Notamacropus eugenii: one gene and its partners. The protein of the gene in region 3 interacts with the protein of the main gene of each other region in a biochemical or structural test. Links are inferred from orthologs where the notes say so. Each region holds a gene or a part of one and is shown on either strand. Other genes may lie near its edges. The genes, in order: WBP2, PTEN, E3 ubiquitin-protein ligase NEDD4-like and MLANA.

Region 1 (7,512 bases), on a different chromosome or scaffold from region 3:
GTCAGTTCAGCTACCTGGAGACACAGCAGACTCCCAGAGTCCTGGGAGGAGCCTGTGACAAAGAAACACCATGGGAGATGGGAAAATAAAAAGTCATTAATGTTTCAGGGGCCATCCAACTCACTGACCTGTGTCAGTGTTGCTAGAAACCTGAGTCACTCTTCTAAAATGTCAGGTCTCAAAATGACAGGTAAGGACTCCAAAGACTTACTCTGTAAGGAGTCAAATAGAGGCTGCCTTTCTTGGTTCCTTTGAAGGCATCTGTCATGTGATCCATGTCACTGAAGGAGAGCTCCACATGATCGTAGGTCATTAGAATACTACAACGGGAAGGGAGCAAGAAGATTATAAGGGAGATTAGAGATATGACTTGAAGTGTGAATAAAAAGCTGTGTTATTTCCTTATATTCCTCTTCTCCTCCTGCATCCATCCCCCCCACCCCCACCCCTCAACAAGCAGTAGACTATAGAATCTCAAACATACCACTACCAGCTCCATCTGGAATAAGTGCCAGATAAGGAAGGAGAATTCCAATTTGCAAGGTTAAAGCTGATGCCACCACAGACAACGCTTTCACCCTAATCTTCAAAGGCAAGCTAGATGGCAACTCATTGTGTTTATTATAACATTCATGTTATGAATAAGGATTAGACTAGACCAAGGGTGGGGAACCTGTGATCTTCTAGGTCCTTGAGTGCAGCCTTTGACTGAGTCCAAGTTTTACAGAACAAATCCTCTTATTAAGGGGATTTGTTCTTTGAAGTTTGGATTCAGTCAAAGAACGACATTTGAGGGCCTAGAGGGTCGCATGTGACTGAATGTTCCCCACACCTGGACTAGAAGATCCATGAAATTTTTTCCAACTCTATAATTCTATGAAATGTCTAGTTGCAGGCATGATCACTTAAAGAAAATGTAAAACAGATAAATTATGAAATGATGATTAAAGGACTCACTAAAGTTTCCTTCAAATAATAAAAGAACAAAGGAGGTTCAAATCTTAACTTCAATTTATACACTAATTTCCTGGAATGAAACTAAAGAATTTATATAAAGCAAGGCATATCCTTATTTAACAGTCACAGAGCATTTAGAAGTGTGGGAGGCAAAGCGAGAGGTAGTCCTTGTCCCAGAAACTCCCACTGAGAAAGAATAAAAAACAGTCACAAGAGATGATACTGAAAGACAGCAACAGTGTTTCCTTGTTCCAAGAGCCTGTTTGGACACAAAAAGGTCACAAACCAATGAGCATCATGGGATATCTCTACTTACAAGATAAAAATCAAATGAACTATTCCTGGTGGTTGAGTCTGTCCTCCTACTCCAACCAATTAATCACTAAACATGCATTTATTAAGCTCTTACTTATCTACCAGGCACAGTACTAGATGCAGGGAATATACAGACAAAAAAACAAACCACAGCCCTCAAGCTATTTATATGTGCATGTCCATTTACAAAATAAGTGAGATACTTTGAACACTAACAGATGGGGGAAGGGACAGTCAGGAAAGGTTTGCACAGAAGATTAAATTTTTGTTGAATTTTGATTGAAACAAGTGATTCTAAGATAAAGTCCAGACTTGGGGGGCAAAATGTGCAACAGCATGGGGACACTAGTGTCCTGTACGGGAAATACCAAGAAGACCCAGGCTGAAAACCTTTCCACTTTTAAGAGGATGGGTGGAACAGAACTTGAAACAAATGCAGGTGGAGAAAATAGGTTAATTATCAGAAACAGGATAAGCCTGTTGGGTCCTATGCAGGGAAGGTGAAGAGGTCATCTTTTTGAAGTCTAAGCTCACACTTGAGCCAATCTGCTTCAACATGAGTTCTGGTCCCTAAGTACTTCTTTCCTCTTAACTGGCACAGTGGTCCTTTTGGCGTTGTAGGGCTATCCTGAAGCAGGTAGCGAGACATGCTCGAGGGGTGGCATCCTTTCCTATGTTGAAGTAGTCAAAGGAGAGGGGCAGAAATAGTGAACACAGAACCAGGGTTTTTTTTGGGGGGGGGGGGTTTGACTGCAATACCATTTATGGCATGACCACCCTAGCCTCCTCCAAATAGGAGGAAGTACTCGGTAAATTTAATGAGCTTCCATCCACATAGTGAAAGCAGGAGTCAAGTCTTCGCTGCCTCTCCCCAGCAGTGCAAGAAGTTGCGAGTCTTAGAGCAGAAAGGGGTGTGGGGGTGGGTGGGTGTTTTAGTAGGACGGCGGGTAGCAATCAGGAGTCTCCTTCCCGTCTAGTTCCCTTTTCTGGCCTTCATCATCTTCCACCTGAAGAATGAGGGAGGGGCCGGACGACCCCCGGCGCCGCTCTCAGCTCCGACGTCATTCTCCCTCGGCTCCGGGGGTGGGGAGGAGGAGGCTGGCCCAGCCGGGCCCGCAGTGGGGGAGGGGGGGTAAAGGGGATTCCAGCACCAGATGGGGCGCGGAGAGGCCCAACATTCCAGCCAAATCTCCTACGCGGCTACCCTCCCCCAAGCTGACGCTGTCCTTGGTCCCCAATCCCTCCCCAACGACGCCCACCCAGGAAGCTCAGTTCCCTCCCCTCCCCCAGCTGCTGCAGGCCTAGGCCCCTCTGGCAGTTCCAGGAGGGGTAGGTGACGGGGGAGGGCTAAGATTTCCCGCCCCCTCCTTCCTTCCTTCTGCCCAGGCCGTTACACTACCCTGACCCCACCTCCCTCGACGACTCGCCCCCACCCCAACGTCCTCCCCGCCCCCCTCCCTGTCCGCCCTTTAAGAAGCCTCGACGAATCCCTCCGCGGCGCCGCTCACTTCTCCGTGTTGTTGACAATCACTCCGCTCTCCGAGTGGTTCCTGTTGAGCGCCATGGCCGGGCCGCACAGACGCCCCGCTCCAGACCTCGGAGAACAGTGCGCCTGCGCTCCGTGCCCAGCCCCGCGTGTCGTCGTTCGGAATTCAGTTCCAGCCAATCACAGGGTGCGTATGCGGGCAGGAGAGGAACAACCACCTGACCCTCGAGTCACGTGAACGCGTTCGCCTGTCGTTTTCCTCCCCCTCCCCCCTTCTTCCGCCTTCTATCGCTTTCCTCTACCTCTTACACTTGCTCTTTTGTAGCAGTTTCATCACAAACAAGTCCGAAGACTACAGTTCCCGGCATGCAATGTTCTGGCCTCGCCCTAGACTGTAGGAGCTGTTGAACTTCCGGAGCACCCAAATGGCGAAGGACTTAGAGTTCCTAGTTTGGAAAGATGTATAGAAGAACTGGGAATATTGATTTCCAATCTGGGTCTTCCCCGTGCCCAAAAATCTCAAGTAATTCCTTGTTTCTTCTAGAGCTAGGTTTTTTTTAAATTGCTTTTTACCTCACCAGAATTTCAACCTTTGGTTCTCCCCCTCCCTCCCCTCAGGCACCCGGTGAACAACATTTTTAAAGAAAAAACAATGAGACGCCCTCCCCCCCAAATAAAACAAGCAAAATCAATACATGGAACAAGTCAGAAAGTGTATGTCACGCACCACCCTGGGGACTTTGCGTCCTGCGCAGGATTTGGGGGCGGGGGGGTAGGTCGAGTTCTCTAAGTTTTTGTGTGTGGACTCCTCGGAAGAGTGACCTTCAGTGCATACCATAGGTAAGATTACAAAGGAGATGATCAAAATCATCTTCAGACCAAGTTTACCGGTCCCAGGTTAGGAATCCTCGTCCTGGCGTCCAGGCCTAGCCCAGCCAGCGTTGAGGTTCAATCTGGGCCCATCGATCGCTGGCTGGTGAAGCGTCCCCGGACCTCCTCCTGCTTAGGCCTGGGCCGAGGCCTCCCAGCCTGCCTCTCGGGGCCTCAGCTTCCTCTTCGGCCGCGTGAGGGGCTCGGCGACCCCCGAGGTGGCTTCCAGCGTGGCATCTCCCCGCAGGAGCCCTCTGCCTGCCTAGGTCCCTGCATGGGAGGCTTTTTCCGAGGATCTGGAGGTGCCACAGGCCTGCCCCCGAATCACCTTAAATATTACTCTATTTGACATTATTTCCTATGTCTTCCTATAAGCTTTGCCAAAAGTGGATGTTTTGGGAGAAGGTGAGTGGCTTCATTTGATGTTCTATTTGCTATGTATTTTAAAATCTTTTCTGCGTGACGCTGAATGCACACCCTCAGTAAGTCCTTCCTTCCCATCACTTTTCAGTTGCCAAAGAAAATTCAGAGGATTTTGAATAGTTTTCCAGGAGCTCACCCACTTCCCTTTGTCCCAGCTAATGTATGAGACCTGGTGGTAGGAGCTTAACAAATGTTAATTCACTGAGTGATGAAGAAGATGCTGTTAAATGGCTGTGCTGGAAAGGCCTTGTAACCGTTTAAGCATCCTTTCCATACCATTTCCTCTCTGTAAGCCCTACCTGATGTCTTCCAAAACTGTCCATGGGTCAGGAAGTTACACAAACTCACACACACACGTCTAATGTATGTATGTCATCTGTGGAATTGTGAGAAGCACATGCCCATCACCTGCTGACAGACTATGTCACGTTGAATGGATAAATAGACTGCAGTGTAGCTGACTGAAAATTTTTTTTCTTTCTTTTTTTTTTAATATTTAACAATCACTGCCACACAATTGAGATTTTATCCCCCCCCACTACCCCCCTCCCTCCCCACGACTGCATACAATTCTGTATAGGTTCTACATATACTTTCCTATTGAGTACATTTTCACTATAGTCATGCTGTGTAGTCGGACTAAAATAAATGGAAGAAATCATATAACAAATCAAAACATGATTCACAAAAACATACACACACACAAACATGATCTGCTACATTCTGCGAATAACTTCCATATTTCTTTCTCTGAGTGTGGAAGGCATTTTGCCTTAGAAAACCACCATTGGGATTTTTTTTTTTTAAGAAGTTCTTGCGTTATTACTAAATTCCAAGTCTACCAGAAAAAACTCTCGCACACTGTGGTCGTTGCTGTGCACAAAGTTCTCCTGGTTCTGCTTGAAAATTCTTATAGCAGATCCTTGAGGGCAGGAATTGTCTGGTTTGACTGAACTTGTATCTTCAGCATTTGACACAATGCCTTACACACAGTGAATGCTTAATAAATCCTTTTTTATTCATGGATTTTTTTCATTCACTTTCTGGTTAGCCAGAAAGACATGAGAGATGGCTAGAATTACATACCAGAAACTCATTATCTTTTAAAACTAACTGGGAACAAATGTCCCAGCTACCAAATCCTAAAATATCTTTGAGAGGTCCACAGATAAAATATAGTGGAACCAGAGCATCATTACAGACTGATTGGTTGTCCACAACCACTTAGATATAACCTTTATACATAAACATCGAAGGACAGTGTTTTAAATAAATGTCATTTCTTTTGGGTCAGCCCTAGCTTAGTTCAGTCCACTGAGTAATTCAAGCTTGCGACTGAAATGCCATATTGTGTTCCTTATAATGCAACAAAAACAGATTTAAATACAATAAAATTAAAAGTATACAATTTGCTAAAATTAGATGCTGCTCTCCTCTGCATCTTCATTCTCCAGGATAATGCTGGATGAAAGCAATGGGAATTCCACGAAACCTCAGGAATATTAAGTATATGTAGGCTAGACTTCTTATGCCTCTAGCCGCCCAGACCAGCCAGATCTTGATCTTGCCTCTTTAAAGAGAAAACACACCAACCCTATGTAAAAATATTATTCCTATTACATTCCACCCCCTGGTAGCAAAGTCCTAAAAATCTTCACAGGAACTCTCTTCTGATGGGGTACAGACTCTGGGAACCTCCTTGAACTCTTCTTGAATCTTCCCACTTAATGGGGCTTTTCATACCCAAATCTGTTACCCTTAACCTAGCCTGGCCCTCCATTGTCTGTTGCCTCCAGATTGCTACTGGCTGCTTCCCATACTTGATCAGTTACCGCCCCCCTTCCATCAAGACCCTCCCTACCCCTCCTTTCATCACCCCTGACTACTAGACCACCCCCAGAATTCCTCCCACAGTCTTTCTGTATATAAGATCCCTCTTACCTCCATAAAGGTGCTCAGATTCAATCTGGCTCTGATCCAGTCTTGCTGAGGTTCTATCTGGCCTACCATCAATACAAGCCTTACAAATGGTGAGGCTTAAGAGTCAACCCAATATGGTGAATCTTTAATAAACTTTGTTTTACTTTGGTTGAAAGAAGGCTTGGGCTGAATTCATTCAGGCAGGGCCCGGGTTGTCAGTATTTTGGGGTCCCAAGCACTCTAAACCTCAACAAATGTTTCCCTGACCTCAACACTACCACTTATATGTCTGCAAGGTTGTTACTAAAAAAAGCTGGCTTTGGGGATATGAAAAGCCTAGCAAAGCTTAGGAAACACTTGTTGACCTGAAAACTTGGTTAAAGAAAAGGCAACAGGCTAAATGCATACATTTTATGATTTAATTAATTAATTGATCAATTCCCTATTAAAGAAAATGGTAACATAATGCATTATGGAGCCAGAAATGTTCTGGCTACTGATACAAAGAATTGGGCAGGCTTAAATATGTTTTAGGACAAAGAAGTGTTCTGTGTCCTTCAGATTTATGATCTCCATAAGTGACTAACTAGACATTAGAAAGGAATTTCTTAATTGCATAGGTTGTAAATACAATAAGATAACAGAGTTTGACAAAGTTTCACATAGAAATTACCACCCAAGATGTCTGTGTTTTCTTTACCATTAACATGCCATAACATAGGATATGTCTACAAATGTTAAGATATGGAAAACGTCCCATTATTCAAGATAGTGTCTTAGGTTAAAGGTCTCTTAAGGAATGTTAAGTCAGCCCTGGCAGGCTTTTGTTGACATAGGAAGAGGCATTCTCTGAGTTTGCTTCAGAGAGAACAAAGAGATTATTCCAAAATTTTATATTAAACATTATCAGTATCTATCAGGGAGTAACTAAGCACCCTGACATACACAGGTGGGCCTGCTATCACAGGTTCTTTAATCTGCATTTCTAAAAGGAAAGGCAACTTTTGAGAGGTTAACAATCTCCTTTAATCAAGCACATATATCATTCCCCTAGTTCAGGGAAAAAAATCAGCACCCTGAACTTCAGAGAAAATACAGAGAAATCAAAGATCAACAGACATGGTTTCCAGCTATCTGACCATAACCAATACATATATCACAAATCAACAGATATATCCTACTGTCTGACCATAGTTACCAGAGAGGGAAGCACCAACATCTGGGTTTTCAAAGCCAGGGGGCTCCTTAGTGGCGGCCCAGAGTCTCCTCTGACCAAACAAACACTTCCAGTCAGTAAACCCCAAAGTAAAATCTAATCCTCAAAGTATTTATACCCTTTTTAGAGCCAGAGGGCATCACAACCCTTGAGAACTAGTGCCTCATTAATAAAAGGTGTGGGCCTTCCTACAAAGCTTCCCAAGCCCATAAGGACTGGGGAAGATCTTCTTTAATCACACTATTCAGTCAGAGGCACTTTATACTAGAACAAAAACAGCAAAAGATCCCACTTTGCTTGCCATCACACTCCACCCTTCCAGGAT
Region 2 (7,349 bases), about 140 Mb from region 3:
AATATGGAATGTCTTGTTTGATTACGCATACTTTGTTACAAGGGTTTTGTTTTCCTTTTTTCTCCCCCATGGAGGGAGAGTTGGAAGACAAAGAACATAAATGCTTTTCAACTGAAAATACAGTTTTACTTTATTTTTTTCAGGAAATAAGATTTTTCTACTTTTCACAGATTCAACTTGAGGACACTTTTTTTTTTTTTAAAGACACTACAGTTGACCAGAGAGTGATAATGTCTTCCTTACTTCTTACTAGAATGTTTTCCCACAATAACCAGAAATGGAGCTGGTCAAGTGCAGACTTTTGTCTGCTAAGGAGATAAGCTCCTGCAGGGCAGAATCTGCTTCACTTGCATCTTTAAAACCCCATACCACATACAGGGTGGCCCTCATAAATGCTTGTTGATTGACTGACAGTTAAATCAAGCACATTTTTTGATGCATCAAAAATTGTTAGGAAGAGAAGCTTTCAATGATCTTTTGCTCTAGTGATTGTTTTTAAGTTGCATAAATTTTATGCACACATGCCAAAAGTAGCTGACCATAGGAAAATTATATCCCATCCCCCTAAGAATAGCATTTTGCTGCTCAGATAAGAACCTGGTAAAAGACTTGCAAAATGACTATAATGACATAATTTAGATACTCATTCAGAGAGTCATAATTAATTAAATCAAGTTTAAATTTTGCAGACTTCATAATTTGAAAGTGGACATCATTTCAGCCATTTTTAACATGACCCAAAAAGCCCACTAAAAGCACTTAATTAGGAAAAGGTTTTCTTCCTAGTTCTCAGACAACCACTATTATAATTTGACCCCAAAAATGAACTGCTGGTAAAAACAAATCATAAAACAAAATCTGCAATGAGTGACGTCCTCGGCAGTGCTGTCCAGTTTAAATGTATCTATTACATTCAATCGATGCAGTCTCTTCAATTTCCAAAGTTACTCTAAAAATACCATGTTAAGAATTTAACAGGAATATGTTTTGTTTTCAGCTATGTTTAGTAAATTCCTCTAACAAAACGTGTCTACTTTTAAGAAAACACATGTATGCTTACATTCAGTTGGCATAAAAATTAACATAAAATTTTAATAAAACAGTAGAAGGTGGCAAAAGTATAAATGTAATAAATATGAAAGGGAACCAAATTCTTTCGACATTAAATTCTGTTATCATATTCTCCTCCAAACATTTCAGGTAAAAAGAGTAGTTTAAATGTCACTCTGTCCATTGAATCACTGACTATTATTACTGAAGTGTTTTTGAGGACAGATATGTATGCTTAAATGTACAAGGCCCTATAGTCAAGACTTAGAACTTTCCTATGGAAAGGTACCAGCAAGAGGCAGTCACTTCCACAGAAGGCACTGTCAAAACAAAGTAATGATTTTTGATTTTTTTAAAATCCATCTCATGTTCCATATCTGTTCAACTCTATCCGTATGGTTTACTATTGCATTTACACCACCCTATGTCCAAAACGCTCCAGTCACCTGAACACCAAAAACCTAATTACTTTAAATTACATTTCTCCGTACATGCATACCAACAGGCAATGAATTGTTTGGGTAAAAAAGTGTACCTTTCATGAGTTTGCAAATTAGGAAAATGAATTTAATTCTCAGGTTAGATTAAAACCCAAACTACAGGGATGACAGTAAAGGGCTTTGAAGGCCTCCCTCTTTTGAATGCAAGGGTCTAACCTTAATCCCTCCAGAGCAAAGTCTCGGCCAAAATTCTAGGTTTCTCTTTGTCAATAACTGCCTCGGTAAACTTAAACATTTAAAAGCCTTAACAATTAATCTACAATGTAACTCACTCGATTCAAAATAGGTACAGTGACATCTTACCAGCTCTTCCAGGACATGTTAACTAGTAAAAATACAGACCACATTTTTCCATCTCACTAAAAGTGTAAATCAAAATTATCAAGACCACTAAGACGCCAGGAGGACCCGAAAAATAAATATCGCCGATTATCAACCTGGCCTCACAATAAAACTTAAAACTTCCAACCAACATTAAATTTAACCTTTGCAATAACCACTCGAGACACAAAATGCCCACAGATCGCCTTGACATTATCACTAGGGATCAAAACTACTCAATGTCCATTCCACAGCATATAAACACAGCACATAAAACGCTGCTGAACAGTTCATTTCATGTCTTACCGACATATCGGCCTACCAGGAGCAAAAAAAAAAAACCAAAAAAAAACCCCACCACATTTAACAAAGACCTCAGATAAGCATAGGCCTTAGAGGGTCGATTATAGCGCTAAACGTCTAAATCTTAACAAAACTACCAAATTCGGCTCCAAATGGTCATTAACTTGGTTCTTGGGGCGTGGGGGGGGCATCTCCCCTTCACCTCCTGGGACCGCGGCTGAGCACCTGGGACCCTGCAAAGAGCCCCTCGACTCACAGTTTAGGGCATCTATCGAGGCGACCCAGGGCCCAGAAAGAATCCCTGCAAGATTCTGATGCAATCCCGTCCAGGCGAGCCTTAGTCCCGACCTCCTCTCCAGACCCTCGGTCTAGGTAGGGCCTACCCCAGGCCGGCGGGCTCCCTGCTGCTCTGTTCCCAGTTCCCAGGTGCGACCCCAGGGGGGCCCGGATCGGAGCTCGCTAATATGCTCCCCTCCGCACCAACCGAGGGACAATAGCCCCGGAGGGGGCTGGGGGAGGCCCCTGGCCTTGACCCTGGGTCTGAGCCCCAGAAGCTGGTCCCTGGGGGACGGGGGGGGGGCCGGAGGGGGAGCAGGATTGGGATGCTCTGGGAGGGGGAGGGGAGGGGGCTCCGACGCGGAGGATACAGGTCAAGTCCAAGTCGAATCCATCCTCTTGGTATCTCCTTTTGTTTCTGCTCACGATCTCCTTGATGATGGCTGTCATGTCTGGGGGCCGCGGGGGGAGGGAGGGAGCGGGCGGACGGAGGCGGCGGCACGGGCGGCGGGGCCTGCTCAGCAGCCGGGCGCCCGGCCTGGGCCTCTGCCCGCGGCGCGAGCCGGCGCCTGGGCCTGGGCCTGGGCCCGCGGGAGCTGGTGCTGCGGGTGCGGCAGGCGCGGCGGCGGGCCCGGCGGCGGCCCCGGAGGCTGCCCCGGCTGGCCCGGCGGCGGACGCGGGCGCGGCGGGTGCGGCTCCTCGGGGCCCCGCGGGGGCCCGCGGCGCGGCCGGGGCCGGGCCCGCAGCCGCGGCAGGCCCGGGCGGGCAATCAGGCGGCGCGGCCCACGCTGCAGGAGGCTGCCCCAGGGACGGGGGGCCCGGCGGCCGCGGCCCCGGCGGCGGACTAGAACGACGGCGACAAGGAGAACGAGGCCGAGGCGCGGCTCCGGCGCGGCGGCCCGAGGCCCGGGGGGGGGCGCCGCCGGGGCCGCCGCCGCCGTGGTGGAGGAGGGGGGGGCCGGGGCTGCCGCCGCTCGGGGCCCCGCGGCGGGAGCGCCGGCCTAGGCCGGGGCCGGGGCCGGGGGCGCGGAGCGGGGCTCGGGGCCGCGGCCGCCGCCGTCTCGCATCGCCGCCGGGGCCGCCTCGCCTCGCCGCGCCCCGCCTCGCCTCGCCGCGCCGCGCCGCGCCTCGCTTCGCCTCGCCTCGCCCCGCCTCGTTCCGCCTCGTCCCGCCTCGTCCCGCCTCGCGTCGCCTCGCCGGGCCTGGCCAGGCCTCGCAGGGCGGCTTGCAGCGGCGGGCGCGGAGCTCACTCAGCTGCCATCATGGCCGCGGCGGCCGCAGCTTCCGACGGGAGATACCAGGCAGCTCGCGCCCGGGAGGGAGCCACGGCCGGCTCCGCACGCCTGCGCCTGCGCCTTGCGCCGCCCTGCGCCGGGACCAGGCCGCCCCCCCCTCTCCCCGCCTCCCCGACCGAGGCGGAGGCCCGCCCCCCCAGACCCGCCCCCTTACCGATGCGCCTGCGCCCGGCTCCGCTCCACGACACGACACGCCCCCGCGTCTCCGACTCAGCCCCGCCCCACCCTCCGTCCCGGCCCCCGAGCGCCTGCGCTCTGTTCAGTCCCTCCCCTAGCCCCGCCCCCGCCCGGGTACCGCCCCCCCAAGGTCGGCCCCGCAGGCCAAGGCCCCGCCCTCAAGCGTCTGTGCCCCGCTCCGCCCCGAGATGCAGGCGCCCCGCCCCCGCTTCGGGGCCCCGCCCCCCGCAGCTAGCCAGACCGGGCCGAGCCTGTGGTCGCGAACCAAGAAGCAGCGCGGCGCAGAGCCCCGCCCTTCCCCTTCCTCGCTCCTCCTACACGGCACGGACACATCGACGGCACGTCGTATCCTGCCGCTGCGCACAAAGAGTCCCGCCACATCACCGCCTGCCACGGGAAAAGGAGGGGGAGAGAGAGCGAAACCGAGAGACGGAGACTCGTGGGGAGGGCGGAGAACTCATACCGGGGAGAGCTGGGACCAGGAGAATCTGGGGGGAGGGGTCTTCGTGTGGAGGAAGGGAGACGTAATGGGGGACGAGAGGAAGAAGTGATGGGGGCGGAGGAGGAGACTGAGGGGAAGGAGACTCGATGGAAGTGATGGGAGAAAGTGTGGGGGTGGGGAGGGAAGGGAGCTCGGCGGGGGCGGGGTTGGGGGAGGGGGGAGGAGAAGTGAAAGGTGCCGGGGGGAGGGGGCCTGGGTGAGCACGGGCCGTCAGGTGTCAGGCGCGCCGGGCTGACCGAGATGCCGCGCATGCCCAGTGCCGAGGCCGGCTCCGGGGCGGGCTCGGCTGCTCCCAGGTGGGGGCGGGGGGCCCCCAGCCCAGCACGGGCGGGACCAACCTCCGGGAGGGCGAACGTCCGCTGGCGCCTCTGCTTTATCCGAGGTGCTTTGCTCCGTTCCTAGCCATCACGTGGGGGGAGGCTGCTGCCATCCCCCTCCAACGGGCAGACCCCCGCCCGGAATGCTAGAAGGGGGAGGGGTGCGGCTGAGGCCGCCTTTCCCCCTCTCCCAGCTTCACTTTCTATGTTTTTTCTTCCTCTGCCCCTCCCCCACCGCCTAGGGATGGGAGGGAGATGTGCCAGCCCCAAACCCCCGCCCCCTTTCCCGAGCCGGGAGAGGACCTGCCCGGAATTCCCACTCCTCAGCGTGTCAGCCTCCCGTGGTGTCTCCGTCTGTTGTGTCTCCCCCTGCTCCCCCGGGCGCCCCCCGATAAAGGAGCTGTCCCCAAGAAAGGATCCCCACTATAATAATAAAATCCCCCCATTCTCCCCAAGGATGCCCCCACTTGGAGAAAGGTCTGTGGCAGGAGGTTGGGACATGGCCCCTGCCTCCCTTTCCACCACGCTCGGTCCCCAGGATCGTGGCTAGTCCCCGCCTCCCAGGCGGCTAGGAAGACCCGGTTCGGATTTTGCTGGGGATCACCGCCAGCTCTCGGGGCCGGTGGGCTACAGTGCGCATGGTTTGCGGGAGGGCGTGCCTCTCCAGTGGGCTGACTCGGGACCTAAGAGGGGGCGGGGGGAGGTGGAAGAATACGCCGATCTAGCCGAACTACTTTCGGGGCAGTATCACGTGGGGGGGCGGATGTCCAGGCTCCCCCTCCCCCTGCTTGGGGGCGGTGTTCTGGGCCGCTTACTTCTTCGGACCTGAACATTGGCTGAACTCCTCGGGGGTGGGGGCGGCGACCCAGGAAAGGGGCGGTGCGTTAACCTGGGAGGAAGAGACCCTTTTGTCTCAGGCCACAGCCTTGCACACTGAAGGGGTCTAATAAATGATTCGCGCTGGCTCCTTCCCTCCAAGTTGAGGACTAGCAGGCCCGATTTGGGGAGCCGAGCCAGTCCTTTGTGCCGATGAGGAAACTGAGGCTCTAGCCTAGGCCCCAGATCCCGCTGCCTGTCCTCCGGCTGGGCTGCCTTCCGGCTGTCACTGCCCCGGACCGCAGCCACCGCTGTCCAGCTTCGAGCTTCCCAAGGGGCCCGGGAAAGGCGGACCCGGGCCGGGCCGGATCGGGCCCGGGACCTTGGGGGCTGGGGGCGGGGCGGGAAAGAGGTTGTGTCTGTGAAATTTGTCCTGGCTGGTCCTCCCGAGGCCAGGACGGCTCTGGCTGCCCGGACTCTAGGGGGTTTGCTCTCATTCTCTGGGCTTGCAGTCCCCGCTGCAGGTGGCACGCCCCACCCATGTCCATATCCCGGGCTTCAGGGTCCCACTCTCCTCTTTCCCCGGAGCGTGGGCCCAGCTTAGTATCTACATAGTAATGATGCCACCGAGCCCGTGCCTAGCTAACTCTTCGGCCCACTGGGACTCGATAACGTGTTCTCCCTGCTCCTTCCTCGGAGGCAGGCAAGGAAAGTCCCAGTGTATTTGGGGTAGAGCGTGCAGCCTGGGCCGGGGAGGAGGGGACCCCAGGCCTCCCTGGCACCAGAGGCCGTCAGCAGAGGAGTCCGGAGAGTCCCCAGCAGCACAGCTGCCGGAAAAATGGCCTAAGACTGCCAGCCGAGGCACATGAGGCCTTGGTGAAGATGTCCTAGTTAAGGCTACGTGGCCGATCAAAATAACAATTAGGAACCAGTCACCGGATAGCTACAGGCACCCCCGGGGTCTAGGCAAAGCACTACCTTCCAGGACACGGCTACTCTCCTAGAAGTGGAAGCCCTCTGTAGGGAAAAACTGAGGCACCCACCCTGGGAGCCAGACCCAAGTCAGATCTGGAAAGCACATGGCAAACCTGAACAAAATATTGATAAACAGAAACATTAAACTTTTCTTTGCGCCAGCAACCACAATAACGATTGTTCTGGTCAGGTACGTCTGACTCTCTATGACTCCATTTAAGGTTTTCTTGGCAAAGATGCTAGAATGGTTTGCTGTTTTCTTCTCCAGCTCATCTTGCAGAGGAGGAAGCAGAGGCAAACAGGGCAAAGTGACTTGCCCAGGGTCACACAGCTAGTAAGTGTCGGAGGGCAAATTTAAACTCAGGTCTTCCTGCCTCCAGGGCCTGTGCTCTGTCCACTTCATCACCTAGGTGCCCCAATAATAATAGCTAACATTTTGTAGAACTTCATATGTGCCTAGCCCTGTGCAAAGCCCTGGGGTAAGAAAAACTGCCCTCGAGGAGCTTATATTCTACAAAGAGAAGGCAACACATCCTGGGGAGTTGTGGTCTGAGAAGTGTACTTTGGTCCAGGAAATTCATCACCAAGATGACAAGTGGAATCACACTAGTTAAGGCACCATCAAAACATTCATCATTATTCCTTGTTCTGTTGCTAGAGTCCACCCCTCCCCCAACTGTCAGCAAATAAAGCAAATTATTCAATCCAGCTTAGAAATCATAAAGTAACTCTAAGAGCACACATTTACAAAGTGTTTTCTTCTGAATGACCCTGAAGGATCATCCTAGTTTGTAAAATGAGCAGGACCTGTCTAACT
Region 3 (7,594 bases):
AAGCCTTGGATGAGTTACTAGGGTCAAGGGTCAGCTGCAGCCCTTCTTTCCCTTTACAGATCAGTCCCTCCTACCCCATCACTCCTTAGAGTTCAACTAGACAAGTACAACCCCTTCATCAGCATTTCAAACTGAAATAATTTTTTTAAATCACATTGAATAAGAAGTCCTTTTTTCTTAAAAAAGAAAAGAAAAGCAATCTTCAAAGCCATTTTAAGACAATCACACAAGAGGAGGCTGAAGTGTTGGTACTACTAAAACAAAGAGTCACCATGGCTTCCTGTAAGTTGTCTACAACACTGGAGAAAAGACTGGTTCTGGTACTGCCATCACTAGGTAAAGAGAGAAAAGCAAGCAGCCCCTTCCTCAATCTTAATCTCTTACTCCTCTCAGCACAATGGAAAGAGGAGGAAGTTCACAGTCAGATCTCTCTCTTTCCCTGGGATACAGTAATTAAGGGACATAAAGCAAATAGAGGCATTTGGAATCTTGGCAGGGCAAAGGCCAGACCTCCAGTTTATCCACTGGGGTGAACTCTACATGCAGGTGGTTGTCTATTACATGAAATGTGTTGTGGAGTCTGCAGTCTTAAATTCAAGAATTGAGACTTCTGGTCTTGACTGATGATTGCCTGAGACCATGGGTTACCCTGCCCAACTCTGCTAGAGAGGTGTAAAAGGCATGGGGAGCAAACTAAATTAGCCTTGGCTAACCCACGGAGGCATGCAGAGGCAGACACCTGGAACAGGGCCAGATATTCCAAGTTTGGGGTTTTTTAATTGCTGGAGGGAGGAAGCAACTAACTAGAAAAAAGCAGATATCACTAATGAGATACCAAATCAGCACAAAAGAAGTACTAGAAAAGGGGAGTTAAGTTTTTCAGACATTTTGCCAAGGACTTATTCTGTTTCTGAGATTTCCAATCTAGAGATCTAGAACATAGTAAGAGAAGGAGAATGAGTAAAAAATTCATACCATCAGAATATGGCTCTGAAGAACCCAGAGAGTCCCAAGCCTGCCTAGACCAGTGTAGGTCTACCTAAGAAATGCCTAAGGCAAGTATCCGTCCTATAGAACTAGCAGCAAGACAGTCTTTCTAATACTTTTTAGAGCCAGAAGGGCATAGTGTTTTTCTCTTCTTGTTGAAATATTAGCCAAAAATTAATGTAGCAATTATCTAGCACTTACCATACATACATAACCGTTTAGTACATACAGGAATAACAGTGAATATATTTCCATCAGAAATTATCTTCTATCAGCATATATACATAACCAGCAGATGAAATAAAATATTGTTGTTCAGTGGTGTCGACTCTTTGTGACCCCATGGATCACAGCCAATCCTTCACTATGTCCTGGTATCTGTCCAAGCTCATGTTTGTCACCTTCTATCCATCTTATTCTCTGCCATCCCTTTCTCCTTTTGCCTTCAATCATTCCCAATAAGTAATTCTCCTTTAATCAAATTATATTTAAAAGGAATGAAAGGCACTGTTCTTTATTATCAGGACTCACCAAACCAATATTACTAAGGATAGGGACTGGATCTATGATTTATGGGTCTAAGGAACTTCCAATTACAAACTCCTGCCAAGGCAGGTGTGTACCTTCCCTCCAATTTCTGGCCTTAGAGAGTTGCTTAGGATACTTCAAGTGATTTGCCCAATAAGTGTCAGAAAGAGCACTTGACCTCAGTTTTTCTTGATTCCAAGGCTTATTCTCCAGCCAGTATGCTCATAAAAATTGTTTTATAAAGGATCTACATAAGGGAAGATAGGAGAGATTATATCAATAAACAGCTGAGAAGCATACAAAATATGTTCTCTATTAGAACGTTACCGAAAGAGATCTGATCTCCTCAGCCACCAGCCCCGTACATGTTGCAGCTGTGTTTACATAGTTGCTAACGCGCGGACGCCGCCGAGGGGGCACACCTTGGGAGTATACAATGTTGCAGATTGTTTCCATTGGCTCTGGGAAGGGGAGTGAAACCTAACTGGCCTTCACGGAACCGCATCACCGCAGCGGGAACTTCCAACGGGAGCCCGGGCTCCACGCAGGCCGGACCAAACCGCGGAGGGGCCGAGGAGAGAGATCTGCTGGAGCTGTCACCCACCAGGGCTTCACTGAAGCGTCATGTCAGGAAGCAAGTTTCAGTTCAGTTTAATCTCAGTTAAGTAAAAAAAGGAGGGGCCGAACGCTTTCTATACTGGCTCTGGTTAGTAAATTCTCTCTTCGGCCAAGCCCGAGCCCCAAACGGGGTAAAGAAAACAAAGCACGAGGAGCCGGGGGCCGCGCCCGGGCGCCGAGCCCGCCCAGGCCAGGTCTCCCGGCTCGGGCCGGGCCCGCTGCGGCCCGGGATGCTCCAGGTGAGGCGCGAGACATCCCCGGATCTCCGGCTCAGGTTCCCCCGCCCCCGCCGGCACGCGGGAGAACTGCCCGGGCCCTCGCCCGGGCCCCACTCTGCACGGCTAGAAAGGGGGTGCAGATTAGGCTGGGGGGGCTCGGTCCCCAGCAGCCCTCTCTAACTCTCACGAGCCGGCTCTCCGCGGGTCCCGCCCTTCCCCACCCGGCCGAGCCTGCGAGTCCGGGGCCGGGAGGTGAGAGATGTCCCAGCCCGGCCTCGAGCTCCCTCGGGTGGGGGATGGGGCGGGGGATGACAGGGACCAGCGGGTCTCCTTACCTCATCCTCCAGAAGGCCGAACACCTCCGCCGGAGAAGTTGCCATGTCCCTGCGGGGCCGAAGAGCTCGACTCCCTCACCCCTGGCCCGGAATCGTAGCGGGAAAGGGAAGGGAGGTAGGAGAGGGGAGGAGGAGGAGCGAGAAGGGGGGCGGGGGGCGGAGAGGCTGCAGCAGCGCCCCCTGCCGCGGGGGAGAAGAAGAAGGGGCCCCTTCTGCCTGAAGCGGGGCGGCCTGGGGCCTGGGGCCTCGGGCCTCGGGGAGGGAGTAAGGGGAGCGGGGTGAGGTCTGCGCGCTTCCTTCCCCGGCCCGAAGCCCGGGCGGAGCCAAGTCTGCGGAAGGGCTGGGTGCGACTCGCCGGGGCGGGCGTGGGAACCGCTGGAACCTCCGCCCCCCGAGAGCGCCCAAAGTACAGGATGACGGGGCTCGGCTGCGGGCCTCGGGGCGGCCAGTCCAGGGCTGGGGGCGGAGCCGGACGCTCCGGTGCTCTGCCTCGCGCAGACTGTCGGGCCGGGCAGCCGCGGGGGACGGGGGTGTCCCGGGGGGCAGGGGTGTCACGGAGGGGTAGCGGGCGCCCCGGGGACGGGGGAATGCCCCAAGAGGAGAGGGGTGCCGCGGTGGGGTGGGGGGTCCCTCAGGGAGCGGGGGGGTGTACCGGGAGGAGGGGGTGCCGCGGTGGGGTGGGGGGTCCCTCAGGGAGCGGGGGGGTGTTCCGGGAGGAGGGGGTGCCGCGGTGGGGTGGGGGGTCCCTCAGGGAGCGGGGGGGTGTTCCGGGAGGAGGGGGTACCGCGGTGGGGTGGGGGGTCCCTCAGGGAGCTGGGGGGTGTTCCGGGAGGAGGGGGTGCCGCGGGGGGGTGGGGGGTCCCTAAGGGGGCGGGGGTGTCCCGGGGGGCTGGGGGGCGCCCCCGGCCTTAGCCCAGCTTCGCCAGCCCGCGCCCCTGCCCGGATCTCATCCCAGTTCCGGTCATGGCTTCTGTAGTAGCCTGTTATCCCCCCACTACGGAGCGCCCTGGGGTACCACGGAGTTGGGATTTAAACTCAGGCTTCCCAACTGTCGTGGGTCATGTGACCTCCCTCTCCCAGATTAACACCAGTTTTTCCTCGTTGAATTCACTTCCATTTCTGAGCCTCTGGTGGTTTGTAAAGAAACACTTCTAAAAGGTTCCCAGTTATATCCTTTTGAGTCAAGGGTGGAGAGAACAATGCCATATTTTTATTATTTTCAAAATAATTATTTTGAATTATATAATTATATATTATTTTATCTCGTTTCATGTGTTTATATGTTAATTATGTATATTATACACAATGTTGCACTTTAACGTCGGATCCTTCCCCAGGCTTTACCCGACACAAGCGGTGATCCAGATATCTAGGGCACAAAGGGGAAAAGTCAGCTCTTTGGTCCACCTCCTATCGTGTCTGGACAAATTAACAAATGGTAGTTCTGTGATCCCACCTTCGAATTTAACAAGTGGAGGAAAACGACACATCGAAAGATAAAACTCCATCTCTCACCTCCATGTTCCATGAGCCACCCATTCCTCATCCCTGTTCCATTTCTGGAACCATAAACTGGTGATCGTTCAGAGAACTTGTCTGTCTACTCTGCTCCGGTCACACTCGCTAAGAACACTTTCTAAGATTAAAGTGTCCAGCCGCCACCACTCCACTATGTACATCGTTTCCACCATTAGAATGTAAAATCTTTTAGGTCAAGTCTACAAGCATTTTTTTCTTCTTTTTTAAAAAAAAATTTATTTGTTTTCAGTTTTCAACAATCACCTCCATAAGTTTTAAATTTTTTTCCCCCTTCCTTTTCCCCCCCTCCCCAACACAGTGTGCAATCTTATATGGGTTCTACACATACATTCTTATTAAACACATTTTCACATTAGTCATATTCTACAAGCGTTTATTAAGTGCTTACTGTGGTCTGTGAATTGTGCTAAGTGCTGGGAATAGAAACGCAAACAAAAAATAGTCACCACCTTCTAGGAGCTTACTTTCTAAAGGGAGAAGAGACACATGAAAGGGGACTGAAAGGTGTTGGGGTAGTACCTAGTGAGGTCAGAAAATCTTAGGAATTCCTCCAAGAAAGGATGACTGGCTTGGGCCTTTCTTCCAAATGGAGGGAATGGGAGAGAAAAGTTCAGGGTGAGAAGGCCACAGCTGCTGCAGGACTTCGGTGTTTTTTTATTTGTATCCCCAGCACTTAGTACAGAGCTTGACACTACTACAGTTAAGCACTTAATAAATGCTTTTGCATTCATTTAGTGATCAAATTACAGTTAAGCTTTTTAAAAAGTCAGTAGGCTAGAGAATGGTCATATCACCTACCCATTTACTATTCCTGCTTCTTTCTAGTCTTGAAATCAGAATAATTTACCAGTGAGGCCACCTTCAGAGTACATCAAATTAGGGAAATTACCTTGGGCCCAATGTTTTGGAGAACCCTGCCTAGGCCAGGCAGGCCAGAAGGACCTGAGGGCACAGCAGACTAGCAAAGAGACAGGGCCTGAGAATGGGTGCTCTTGACTAGGGCAAGCATACATGAAAAGATGTATGGGATTTTAACTGTGAGTTGGCATAAATACACTTTAGAACAGTGGTTCTTAACCTGGGCTCCATAAACCCTTATAGATTTCAGGAGATTTTGTAAACTTGGATGGGGGGAATAATGAATCTTTATTTTTTTAACCTCTGATTTCCTTTGTATCTTATGTATTTTATTTTACACATCTAAAAATTCTGAGAAGGGATCTTCATCAGACTGCTAAAGTGGTACATAACAGAAAAAAAGATTGAGAACCCCTGCTTGAGAGTTACTCAGCCAACCCCTACTCTTGCTGGAAAGCTAGGTCCTGAGAGCAAGGCTTCTCCATCTCCCCTAATGGCCCTAGAGAACCCTGAGGGGCTGGGTGGCTGGTGGCTTTCAAAGGCTATAGTTCATCAGCTGAGGCTGGGAAACCCCATCGTTTTCTTCTTCCCCATCTGTACCTCAGCAAGTGATTTTTTTTTTAAAGTACTTTACCCATAGCTTTTATATCCTCAAATGCCTGACTCCAAACTAGCCTTCTGGTGTATAAGTCCCACAGGGCACGACCACATTGTTAAACCTATGTAAACAGATTTCTTATTGCACCTTGTTGAAATGCTTTGATTGAATAGAGATATCCACCCTCTAACTCTGTAACCCTGGTCAAATCACGTAACCCTGTTTGCCTCCGTTTCCTCATCTATAAAATAAGCTGGAGAAGAAAATAGCAAACGATTCCAGTATCTTTGCCAAGAAAACTCCAAATGGGGCCATGACTGAAATAACTGACACACAAGAAATAATCCAGGGTATAACTGATAAGGGTCTTGAACGAGGATGGTGTGTATGTGAGTGGAGAGAAAGGGACATGCTATAGATTAATTATAATACAGAAAGTGAAGGAGAGTTGAACTTGCGAGTCTGAAGTCGTCAGTGGTACGCTCAACAAAAATTGGAAAATTTGGAAAAGAATTAAAATTAAGTGGGAAGATTTTGCAAGTTGGGGTGCTTACCTAATCCCTTGAAGTGTAGTTTGTGACGGGAGACTACAATTAGAAGAAAGATGGGGGCTGATTTGGGATACAGCTGTTGAGACAATAATTGAAACCAAGAGGGTGCTACAGAACCAGGACAATGCATTGGGGGCATAGGTACATTTAAGGGTCTCTACACAGATGAATATTCCACAAAAGGGACTGAGAAGCAAACAGGGAGAAAAGCTAAGAGTTAAGGACCTCAGAGGAGGAACAAACATTTAGAAGGAGGGCGGATGGTAAGTGATGTCAAAAGATGCTGAGGGGTCACAAAGGAAGAGGAATGAGGAAGTGGCTCCCAAGAGTTAGCCACTAGAGGTGGGTCACTGATAACCTCAGAGAGATCCCTTTCCGTTGAGATGTGGTGTCTGAAAACTGGTTGCAAGGGGTTGAGAAGAGAGTGGGGAGGTGAAGTAAAAACTGCAAGTGTAGATTTTGGTTTTTATGAATTTGTTTATGAAAGGGAGAAGGTGTATAGAATGGAGCTTAGGGGAGCTGGCAGGTCTAAAGAATGAAGACACCTGGGATGGGTACAATACAAGGTGTCTTACAAGCATCATCTCTCTTTATCCTCACAACAACCTTGACAGATCAGTGCTAATATTATTCGCATTTTGTAGCTGAGGAAACTGAGAGAAATAAAGGTTAAGTGAATTGCGCAGCACAGCTAGTGAACGTAGGAGACTGAATTGGAATTCAGATTTCCTAACTACAAGTCCTGTGCTCCACTGCACCACCTAGCTGCTGATAATAATAGATAGCATTTATGTAATCCTACTATGTGCCAGGCACTGTGCTAAGCATTTTATAATTATTTTTTTTATCTTAGCTGCCTAATGTTTGAAGATCATGGGGGGAAAGGAGAGATTGAGGATGACAGAGGGGGACGGATGATTAATCAACAAGATTTATTAAGCACCAATTATATACCAGGTATTGTGCTCTACAAATATAAGTGGGGGAAACAACAGGTACACAGATAAGTACATAAAAGATACAGATAAACATAAAGTAGTTAAATACAAGATATTTTAGGAAGGAGACTACTAGTAGGGGGAAAGTGGAGCTGAGGAAAGATGTCTACGCAGAAGGTTGGGCTTATGGTGAGTCTTGAAGGAAGAGAGGGAATCTGTGAAGTAGAGGAGGAGACGTGCATTGCAGGAAGGTGGGCAGTCACTGCAAAGGCACAGTCTGGAAATGGACTGTCTTGTGTGAGAAGCCAGATGACTAATGACAGTGGAGGGAAGTTTTGTAAGGGGAAGCTAAGCAGTGCAGTAGATAAGAGTGCTGGGCCTAGAGTGAGGAAGATTCATCTTCTTGAGTTCAAGTGTAGCTTCA
Region 4 (7,820 bases), about 100 Mb from region 3:
CCATCTCCACCCCCACCCCAGATGTTTCTCCTTATCATGAGAAGCTCTTCCCTTATTGTTCATTGGATGATTATTCACCTTGTTGTTTTATTCATCCTGAATTAATACATTAGCTCCAATCCATGTCCAACAACATCCATCTAAGGAAAGTCTATCTGCCCATTCCTTCTCATGGGCACCATTTCTTACCCTCACCATTGCCCCATTCCATCACCAAATAAGTCTATTCTTGGAACTTATGGGTTTGTGTGAATCATGGTATGTAGTGTTAGAAGAGATTCCTTCATTTTCTAAAGGAAATTAAGGCAGAAAGAGGTTGAATGATTTACCCAAGGTCATACAGGTGATACGTGGCAGAGCCAGGACTCTTGACTCCAATTCCAGGCTCTTTCCATTGTACTACACCACTCACCTTCTGTCTCCCAACCACCACCAAAATCCTAAATACATGAGACCAAGCAGAATTATTTTCAGAGCATGCACTGTATCTGGGTTGGGAGCTTTGGATTCGGTTCCAATAAAACAGAATTCAGACAAAAATGCAAAGTCCCCCTTTTTTCACCCTAGATGATAGCCCCTGGTCTCAAACAATCCTGAGCCTGACTGTCTGCCTAACTCAATTAAGCAGAAAGTTTCTTCCCCTTGTGTCACACATTCTGTGGGAATAGGCACAAAGCACATTTACGGACAGGCAGACACATTCTGGGATGGATAAGCCCCCATCCACAAACTACGAGTTGGAAGTCTGAGTTGGGTTTTAGACTTACTCTTCTGCGGTAATGTGAGAAGGAGACTTCTTTTTCTTGAGGTAGGCATGTATAAAGTGAGCATTTTCTTTTGGCATCTTGTGAAGGCAGAGTTACCTAATGGGAAGGATGACACTGAGATCATTCATTGAAACCAGAGCTAACTCAAGAGGCAATCCCTATGGTCTTAGTATCAGAAAACCTTCGTTCAAGTGGTGACCTCAACATTTAGATGCTGCACAGTTCTTGGCAGATCTCTTAACCTCTCTGAGTCTACATTTCTTTATCTGTACCAGGTGGATGATATTTGATTAAAGGGTTTTGCTTAACTGTGTTTTTGAAAAATATACTTTTAGCAGGGTTTGCTTGGGTGACTGTTGGAAAGATTCTTTTGTAGCAAAACAAAATGTGTCAACTTTTAAAAATAAAAGAAAATGAGGAGGGGGAATTTGTACCGAGCCTCACAGGAGTATTGTGAGGAAACATTCTGTAAACAAAAGAAAAAGGTAGGGGAAGAAAGGGAAAAGAGAAGAGAGGAGAAGAGAGGTAAGGTGAGCAGAAGAGAGGACAGGTTTTTTAATTATTGAAAAATAATAATGGAGAGAAATTTTTATTAAAAATAATAATAGCTAACACTTACATAGCACTTTGAATATTATCTTAGCTAGTCCTCAGAACAACTTTGGGAGGTAGGTGCTATTATTATCATTATTTTAGAGATGAAAAAACTGAGACCGAGAAAGGTTAAATGATTTGCTTAGGGTCACTTAGTAAGTGTCTCTGGCTGAATTCAGACACAATTCTTGCTGCCTGCTGGTACAATGCTTTTATCCGCTGTTTGACCTAGCTGATAAGATGAGTCAGATCCATAAGTGGGCTCTCTTGCTACTTTAAGGGGCTATACCTTTAACGGTCTTCTTTAAAACCCAAAATCAAAGCAGAATGGCAGGAGGAAATTTTTTTCCCCTACAGCATTTACTTACCTTCCCTTTTGACAGTTGTAGTGATTTTCTATTATCCAGCCCCCACGGAGAAGTTTATTATTGGCCACTAAATAGGAAACTAAGGGACTAGAAAAGGAAGAAGCTTAACTGTATAAATGATCAATTCTATGGAGTATATGAAGGTTATTAACTATCTTAGTCTCCCCGCCACCCCCAAAAAGTGACAGCCAAATTCCCATATCTCAGATGAATAATGTAGTGATAGGTCCTTTGTATCATTTTTCCAAATGGTATAATCCCAAATCAATTACTATTAAATTAATTTGTACTCGTAAACCCATATCTTATGCTCAGATCCTAATAAAACTGAAAGTTTAGAAGATTTTAACCTTAAATAAGAGTTGTGTGCCATGGGGAATTTTATGGAAGGTCATAGACAGCCATCATACAAGATGAGAATTCAAAAGGCCTTGCGCTGTGCTCCTGGGGAGGGCATGCTCACACTGGGAAAAGCTCTTAAAACTACCTGTGCAGGACTTTAGAGATCATCTGGTCTAAGCCCCTACAGAGGAGATAAGAACCCACGGAGGTCTCTTTGCCTGAGACCAGTTAGGAAGTAAGCAGCATAGCTTGTAATAATGAGCAACTAAAATTTAATAATAGTAATGTTAATAATAACAATACTCTAATAATTCTGTACATGTGATTAAGGTTTAAGGAAAGGAGAGGTACCACTAGGAAGGGACAGTTTAGCAGAGAGGAGAGTGCCCTGTCCTTGACACTTGGTTACGGTCCACTTTCAGGTTTTTCAAAGAACTTTTAAATATTCTCTGATTAATGTTTATATTTTAATTATATTGTTCAATATTATTTAAGTAACTGGAGCATGTGGGGGTGGGCAGCACAACAAAGGGTCAAATTGGGCAAAGTATCTAAGTTTCAAGAAGGTACTGAAATAATTCTTTCAGTTCTCTGATCTCCTTTTCAAGTAGAAACAAGGAAGAAAAAGCTTAGGAGGAAAAAGAGACACTTCCATAGTTGTGTACCTAATGAGAATTATTTTCAATGTCCACATTTTTCTAAAAAACAAACTCAGGAGAGAAATTGTACTGAAGTTCAAAGCCTGTGTGAAAAAAGGTGAACGGTCCGCGGATCCCACGCAGGGCTTCCCAAAGCAAGTATCAAAATTAAAGGGAGAAAATCCTGGCTAAGTAGAGCACTTACCTTCCTTGCAGATCTGCCTTCTGCTCTGTAGCTGGTGAGACATGTGATTATCAGCCCTCTTTTTCTTAATCTTTTTCTTTCTGAGTTTTATTCCCATGATGGTCACGGGTTGGGATTCCTGAGGCTGCAGCCTATGGAATTTATTTAATTGGCATGAAAGGAGAAAACAGAAAGGGTCTTCTCCCAACCTTATTCCATGCCTTGACATGTAAGCACTTGCTTCTTATTTTCTACACCAGATTAATTCCACCCCATTCATTTGTTTGTCGTTATCCTATGACTCCTAGAATAAAGATGCCCTCTAGATTCCAGAGAACTTGGATGGTTCTCTAATTCCCAATGATAGGAAAACTCAGTTGAAACACTGGCCTCTGACTTTTCATCTTCATAATAAAAGAGGATAAAAAATACATTAGCCTAGTCTATTTCTGGAATGAGTCAGAGTCTGAATAAGGTGGTAGAGTGGGGCATTGGACAAGGAATCAAGAATTGAGTTCAAATTTTACCTCAACCATGCAACTGTGTGCAAATCACTTAACCTTTCTGGACCTCAGTTTTCCCATCAGAAAAACAGGGTCATTACACCCAATGATTTCTAAGCTTGACATCTAATTTTGACATCTTTCAGCTTGACATCTATGATCCTATTGTAGCACAAGTTATGGAACTATAAATCCACACTTGAACTGGCTTACGAGGTCCCTCCAGCATAGCTGCTATATTTACCACTCTGGGTTCTAAGGTTAATCCTGAGTGGTTGGAACAGGACTTTTAGCTCACCAGATCCCTCCTCCACACTGTCCCAGTATTCTTCCCTGCCCCCCTTTCTTCCCCTCCATTAGCGTTTATATCAACCAATCAACCAGACTTAATTAGCTTTTAGAAAGGGTTATTTACTAAGACAATATAGTAGAGCAGTTGGCACAAAACATTTTTCCCTAAAGTCTGTGACACATTCGCTCACAAGTACATACAGAGTCTAGGAGAACCAGGGCTCACACCTGGAGAACACATGAGGTAAAGGGGCAGTACCTGGAAGTACTTTTGCTGGAGTCCTATACTATACTATAGTCATTATATTCAATTTGGGGGCCTGACTTATGTCTTGCGGCTGGACTGTGATGACTCTGGAGGAGAAAGTGAGGGTGATGACTTCGCATGACCCTGCCTCTCTTAAATCCAATTCACTTTCAAGTCAAGATATCACCCTCCTGATGACAGAAATGAAGGACAAAAAAACAATTCAATCTATCCTTAGTTCCTGATGTAGATTCCACCACCAGCCTCAGATGACCTAGGGATGCTACTAAGGAGTCCAATGGGAAAAACCAAATCTTCTGGTCCTCCAAATTTCATTAGGTCTTCTTCTGGTCAAGAAGAATTGGAGGTGAATAAATCCAAGATATTCTCTTCCCCTCTAAGCTATTCCTTATCAAGGGTGTCTCTCTCTCTCTCTTGTCCACCACCAGATGCTTGAAATTTCAATTCCAAACAAGCTTCAAGTTTTAGTATAAGCCCTATAGGACATTACCTGAGCCCTTGACCAATCTGAACAGGCTTTCTATCATCCCTGGCTCATCTCTGTGATTGACTCATTCAATCAATATACATTCTTATCAGATATCAGGGTACAGTGTTGTATCATTTATTTTAAATAGGATTGGGTAATTTTCTAGACTGACCCATCCCCCACCACACACACACACACACACACACACACACACACACACATTATAATACTATGAATCTGTGGCATATGTTAGAAGTACAAGGGAATTATGTCTCCACTAGAAAAGGGCTGATTCATACACTGTAAGTGTTTGAAGGGACCTTAAAGATGATCTAGTCCAACCCCTTCATTTTATAGATAGAGAAACTGAGTCTCAGAAAATTTATGGCAGTTAGGTGGTGCAATGGATAGAGTGCTGGGCCTGGAGTCAGGAAGACCTAAATTCAAATCCATCCTCCAACATTTGCTAGTTATGTAACTGTGAGCAAGGAATTTCATCTCTGCTTGCCTCAGTTTCCTCCCAGAGTTGATGAGAGGATCAAATAAGGTAATATTGTAAAGTGCTTAGCACAATGCCTGGTCCATAATAAACATTATATAAATGTTTATTCTATTCCCTTCCCCCTCACTTCTGGATCATAGAGTTTAAGGACTGAGAGGGACCTTAGAGATAATCTAATCTAACCCCTCCATTTTACAGAGAAGGAAACTGAAGTTGTCCATGGCCACACACAGCTGGTTAGTTGCCAAACCTGGACTACCACCAGGCTCCTAGTTCAGTGTCCTTTCTTCTCTCTCCCTCTGTCTCTCTTATTTCTCTGCTCTCTATTACTCCTTCTAAATTGTTTAATGTGTACATATCTTATATCCAAAACCAGGCTTTGAAGTCCCTGCTCCTAGAGGGACAAATATTTAGTGCCCAATGTTTCTCTTTAATGGCTGGCAACATCATGCTGGACGCATAACTAGTTGAAATCAGTTTGAAGGTCCATGTCCTCATTGGCTAGGAAAGAGAATTCATGTGCTCTGTGCCAAGTCTTAATGTGTGGGAAGACCACCTAGCCCATCTGCTTTGAGATGTCTTTTTAATAGCGTTGGAGAAGTAGAGTAATGCATCATAAGACTGGAAAGACCAAGGTGGATTTATGCTGCTCTGCACACACTCTACTGCTGGTGCCTGCTATTCCCCAGTATGCATTTTCAAAGACAGCTGACTCAGATTAGGAGTTTCAGCTTTTCACCATGTCCTCTTCCATCTTCACTGTCCCTACAGTCCAATCTTTTTCCAAACACTGTGGGAGTTATCTTTATTGTATACATTTGGTCAAATCATTCTTCTCAAAAATCATTAGTGGATCTTTACAGTTTGCTAAGAAAAATCCAAAATCTTTCCCTTATATTCAAAGCCTTCCACAGTTGGATACAATTCCACCTTTCTGACATAACTCAGAATTTTCCCCTCAAGATACAAAACTAAGCTACTCTCTTTTTCTCTGAACATGCCCTATGTTCTCCCATATGTGTGTTTTTGCTTTGGGTATTCTCCAAGCCTAGAATGTCTTCCTTTCCCCATCTTTATTTGTCAAATTCCAATTCATTTTTTGAAGTCCAACCCAAGTAACATCTCCAAAAAAAATCTTTCCTTTTTATTACATTATTTTATTTGTTTTCAGGGTTCTACAATCACTTCCATATATCTCAGATTTTTCTCCTCCCTCCTCCTCCTTCCCTCTTCCCTCCCCACTCCCTCCTTGAGACAATGTAAAATCTTACATAGGTTCTACACATATGTCCCCTATTAAATACATTTTCACCTTAGGCATATTGCATAGAAGAATTAAAATGAATGGGAGAAACCATAAAACAAATCAAAACAAAACATAATAAAAAAAATGGTCTGCTTCAATCTGCAATCCAATTCCACAGTTCTTTCTGTGGCTATGAAAGGCATTTTGCCTCAAGAGTCCATTGGGAATTTTTTAAGTCCTTGCATTGCAATGAAGTACTAAGTCTACTAGAAAAATTCTTTGTGCACACTGTGGTTGTTGCTGTGTACAAGGTTCTCCTGATTCTACTCCTTTCTCTCAGTATCAGTTCATATAAGTCTTTCCAGGCCTCTCTGGAGTCTTCCTGTTCATCATTTCTTATAGCACAGTAGTATTACATTACATTCATATACCACAGCTTGTTCAGCCATTCCCCAATTGATGGGCATCCCCTTGATTTCCAGTTTTTGGCCACCACAAAGAGAGCTGCTATAAATATTTTTGTGCATGTGGGATGGTTCCCCATTTCTATGATCTCTTGGGGATACAGTCCTAGAAGCAATATTGCTGGGTCAAAGGGTATGCACATTTTTGTAGCCTATGAACTACGAACTATGGTTCCAAATTGCTCTCCAGAATGGTGGGATCAGCTCACAGATCCACCAATAATGAATTAATGTTCCAGTTCTCCCACATCTTCTCCAACATTTATCATCTTCCTATTTTGTCATGTTAGCCAATCTTATAGCTGTGATGTGGTACCTCAGAGTTGTTTTGATTTGCATCTCTCTAATCAATAGTGATTTTGAGCATTTTTTCATATGACTATAGATAACTTTAGTTTCTTCCTCTGAAAACTGCCTGTTCATATTCTTTTACCATTTATCAATTGGGGAATGACATATTCTTGTACATTTGACTCAGTTCTCTATTTTAGAAATGAAGGTTTTATCAGAGATACTAGTTGCAAAAGTTCTTTCCCAGTTTTATGCTTCTCTCCTAATCTTGGGTGCATTGGGTTTGTTTATGCAAAAACTGTTCAATTTAATGTAATCAAAATTATCCACTTTGCACTTCATAATGTTCTTTATCTCTTGTTTGGTCAAAATTTCTTCATTCTTCACAAATCTGACAAATACACTATTCCTTGCTCCCCTAATTTATTTATAGTATCAATCTTTATTCCTAGATCATGTATCCATTTGGACTTTATTCTTGTGTACGGTGTCAGGCATTGGTCTATGCCCAGTTTCCACCACACTGTTAGCCAGTTTTCCCAGCAATTTTTGTCAGACAGTGAGTTCTTATCCCAGAAGCTGGAGTCCTTGGGTTTATCAAACAGTAGATTGCTATATTCATTAACTACTATGGCTTGAGTATCTAACCTATTCCACTGGTCTACTCCTCTGTTTCTTAGCCAGTACCAAGTGGTTTTGATGATTGCTGCTTTATAATACAATTTGAGATTTGTTAGGGCTAGGCCACTTTCCCTAGCATTTCTTTTCATTAGTTCCCTTGACACAGAAAAAGCTTTTGACAAAATACAATATCCATTCCAATTGAAAACACTGGAGAGCATAGGAATAAATGGAACTTTCCATAAAATAATAAGCATCCTAAAACCATCCAC

The links.
Region 1: of the proteins of E3 ubiquitin-protein ligase NEDD4-like (region 3) and WBP2, one has a biochemical effect on the other in vitro, tested with the Homo sapiens proteins (6 studies listed by BioGRID, with this or other methods). The link is inferred for Notamacropus eugenii from reciprocal best matches to the Homo sapiens genes NEDD4 and WBP2.
Region 2: of the proteins of E3 ubiquitin-protein ligase NEDD4-like (region 3) and PTEN, one has a biochemical effect on the other in vitro, tested with the Homo sapiens proteins (7 studies listed by BioGRID, with this or other methods). The link is inferred for Notamacropus eugenii from reciprocal best matches to the Homo sapiens genes NEDD4 and PTEN.
Region 4: the proteins of E3 ubiquitin-protein ligase NEDD4-like (region 3) and MLANA form a complex in vitro, tested with the Homo sapiens proteins (2 studies listed by BioGRID and IntAct, with this or other methods). The link is inferred for Notamacropus eugenii from reciprocal best matches to the Homo sapiens genes NEDD4 and MLANA.

The regions. Positions count from the first base shown.
Region 1 is NC_092873.1:342,036,133-342,043,644, forward strand, and holds the start of WBP2 (WW domain-binding protein 2), read right to left. Parts: upstream 3,019-7,512; 5' UTR 2,837-3,018; coding exon 2,781-2,836; intron 321-2,780; coding exon 212-320; intron 1-211. UniProt on the Homo sapiens protein: Acts as a transcriptional coactivator of estrogen and progesterone receptors (ESR1 and PGR) upon hormone activation. In presence of estrogen, binds to ESR1-responsive promoters. Synergizes with YAP1 to enhance PGR activity.
Region 2 is NC_092872.1:279,320,278-279,327,626, reverse strand, and holds the start of PTEN (phosphatidylinositol 3,4,5-trisphosphate 3-phosphatase and dual-specificity protein phosphatase PTEN), read right to left. Parts: upstream 2,969-7,349; 5' UTR 2,901-2,968; coding exon 2,822-2,900; intron 1-2,821. UniProt on the Homo sapiens protein: Dual-specificity protein phosphatase, dephosphorylating tyrosine-, serine- and threonine-phosphorylated proteins.
Region 3 is NC_092872.1:140,798,187-140,805,780, reverse strand, and holds the start of E3 ubiquitin-protein ligase NEDD4-like, read right to left. Parts: upstream 3,018-7,594; 5' UTR 2,732-3,017; coding exon 2,687-2,731; intron 1-2,686. UniProt on the Homo sapiens protein: E3 ubiquitin-protein ligase which accepts ubiquitin from an E2 ubiquitin-conjugating enzyme in the form of a thioester and then directly transfers the ubiquitin to targeted substrates. Specifically ubiquitinates 'Lys-63' in target proteins.
Region 4 is NC_092872.1:38,760,449-38,768,268, forward strand, and holds the start of MLANA (melanoma antigen recognized by T-cells 1), read right to left. Parts: upstream 3,014-7,820; 5' UTR 2,915-3,013; intron 864-2,914; 5' UTR 845-863; coding exon 768-844; intron 1-767. UniProt on the Homo sapiens protein: Involved in melanosome biogenesis by ensuring the stability of GPR143. Plays a vital role in the expression, stability, trafficking, and processing of melanocyte protein PMEL, which is critical to the formation of stage II melanosomes.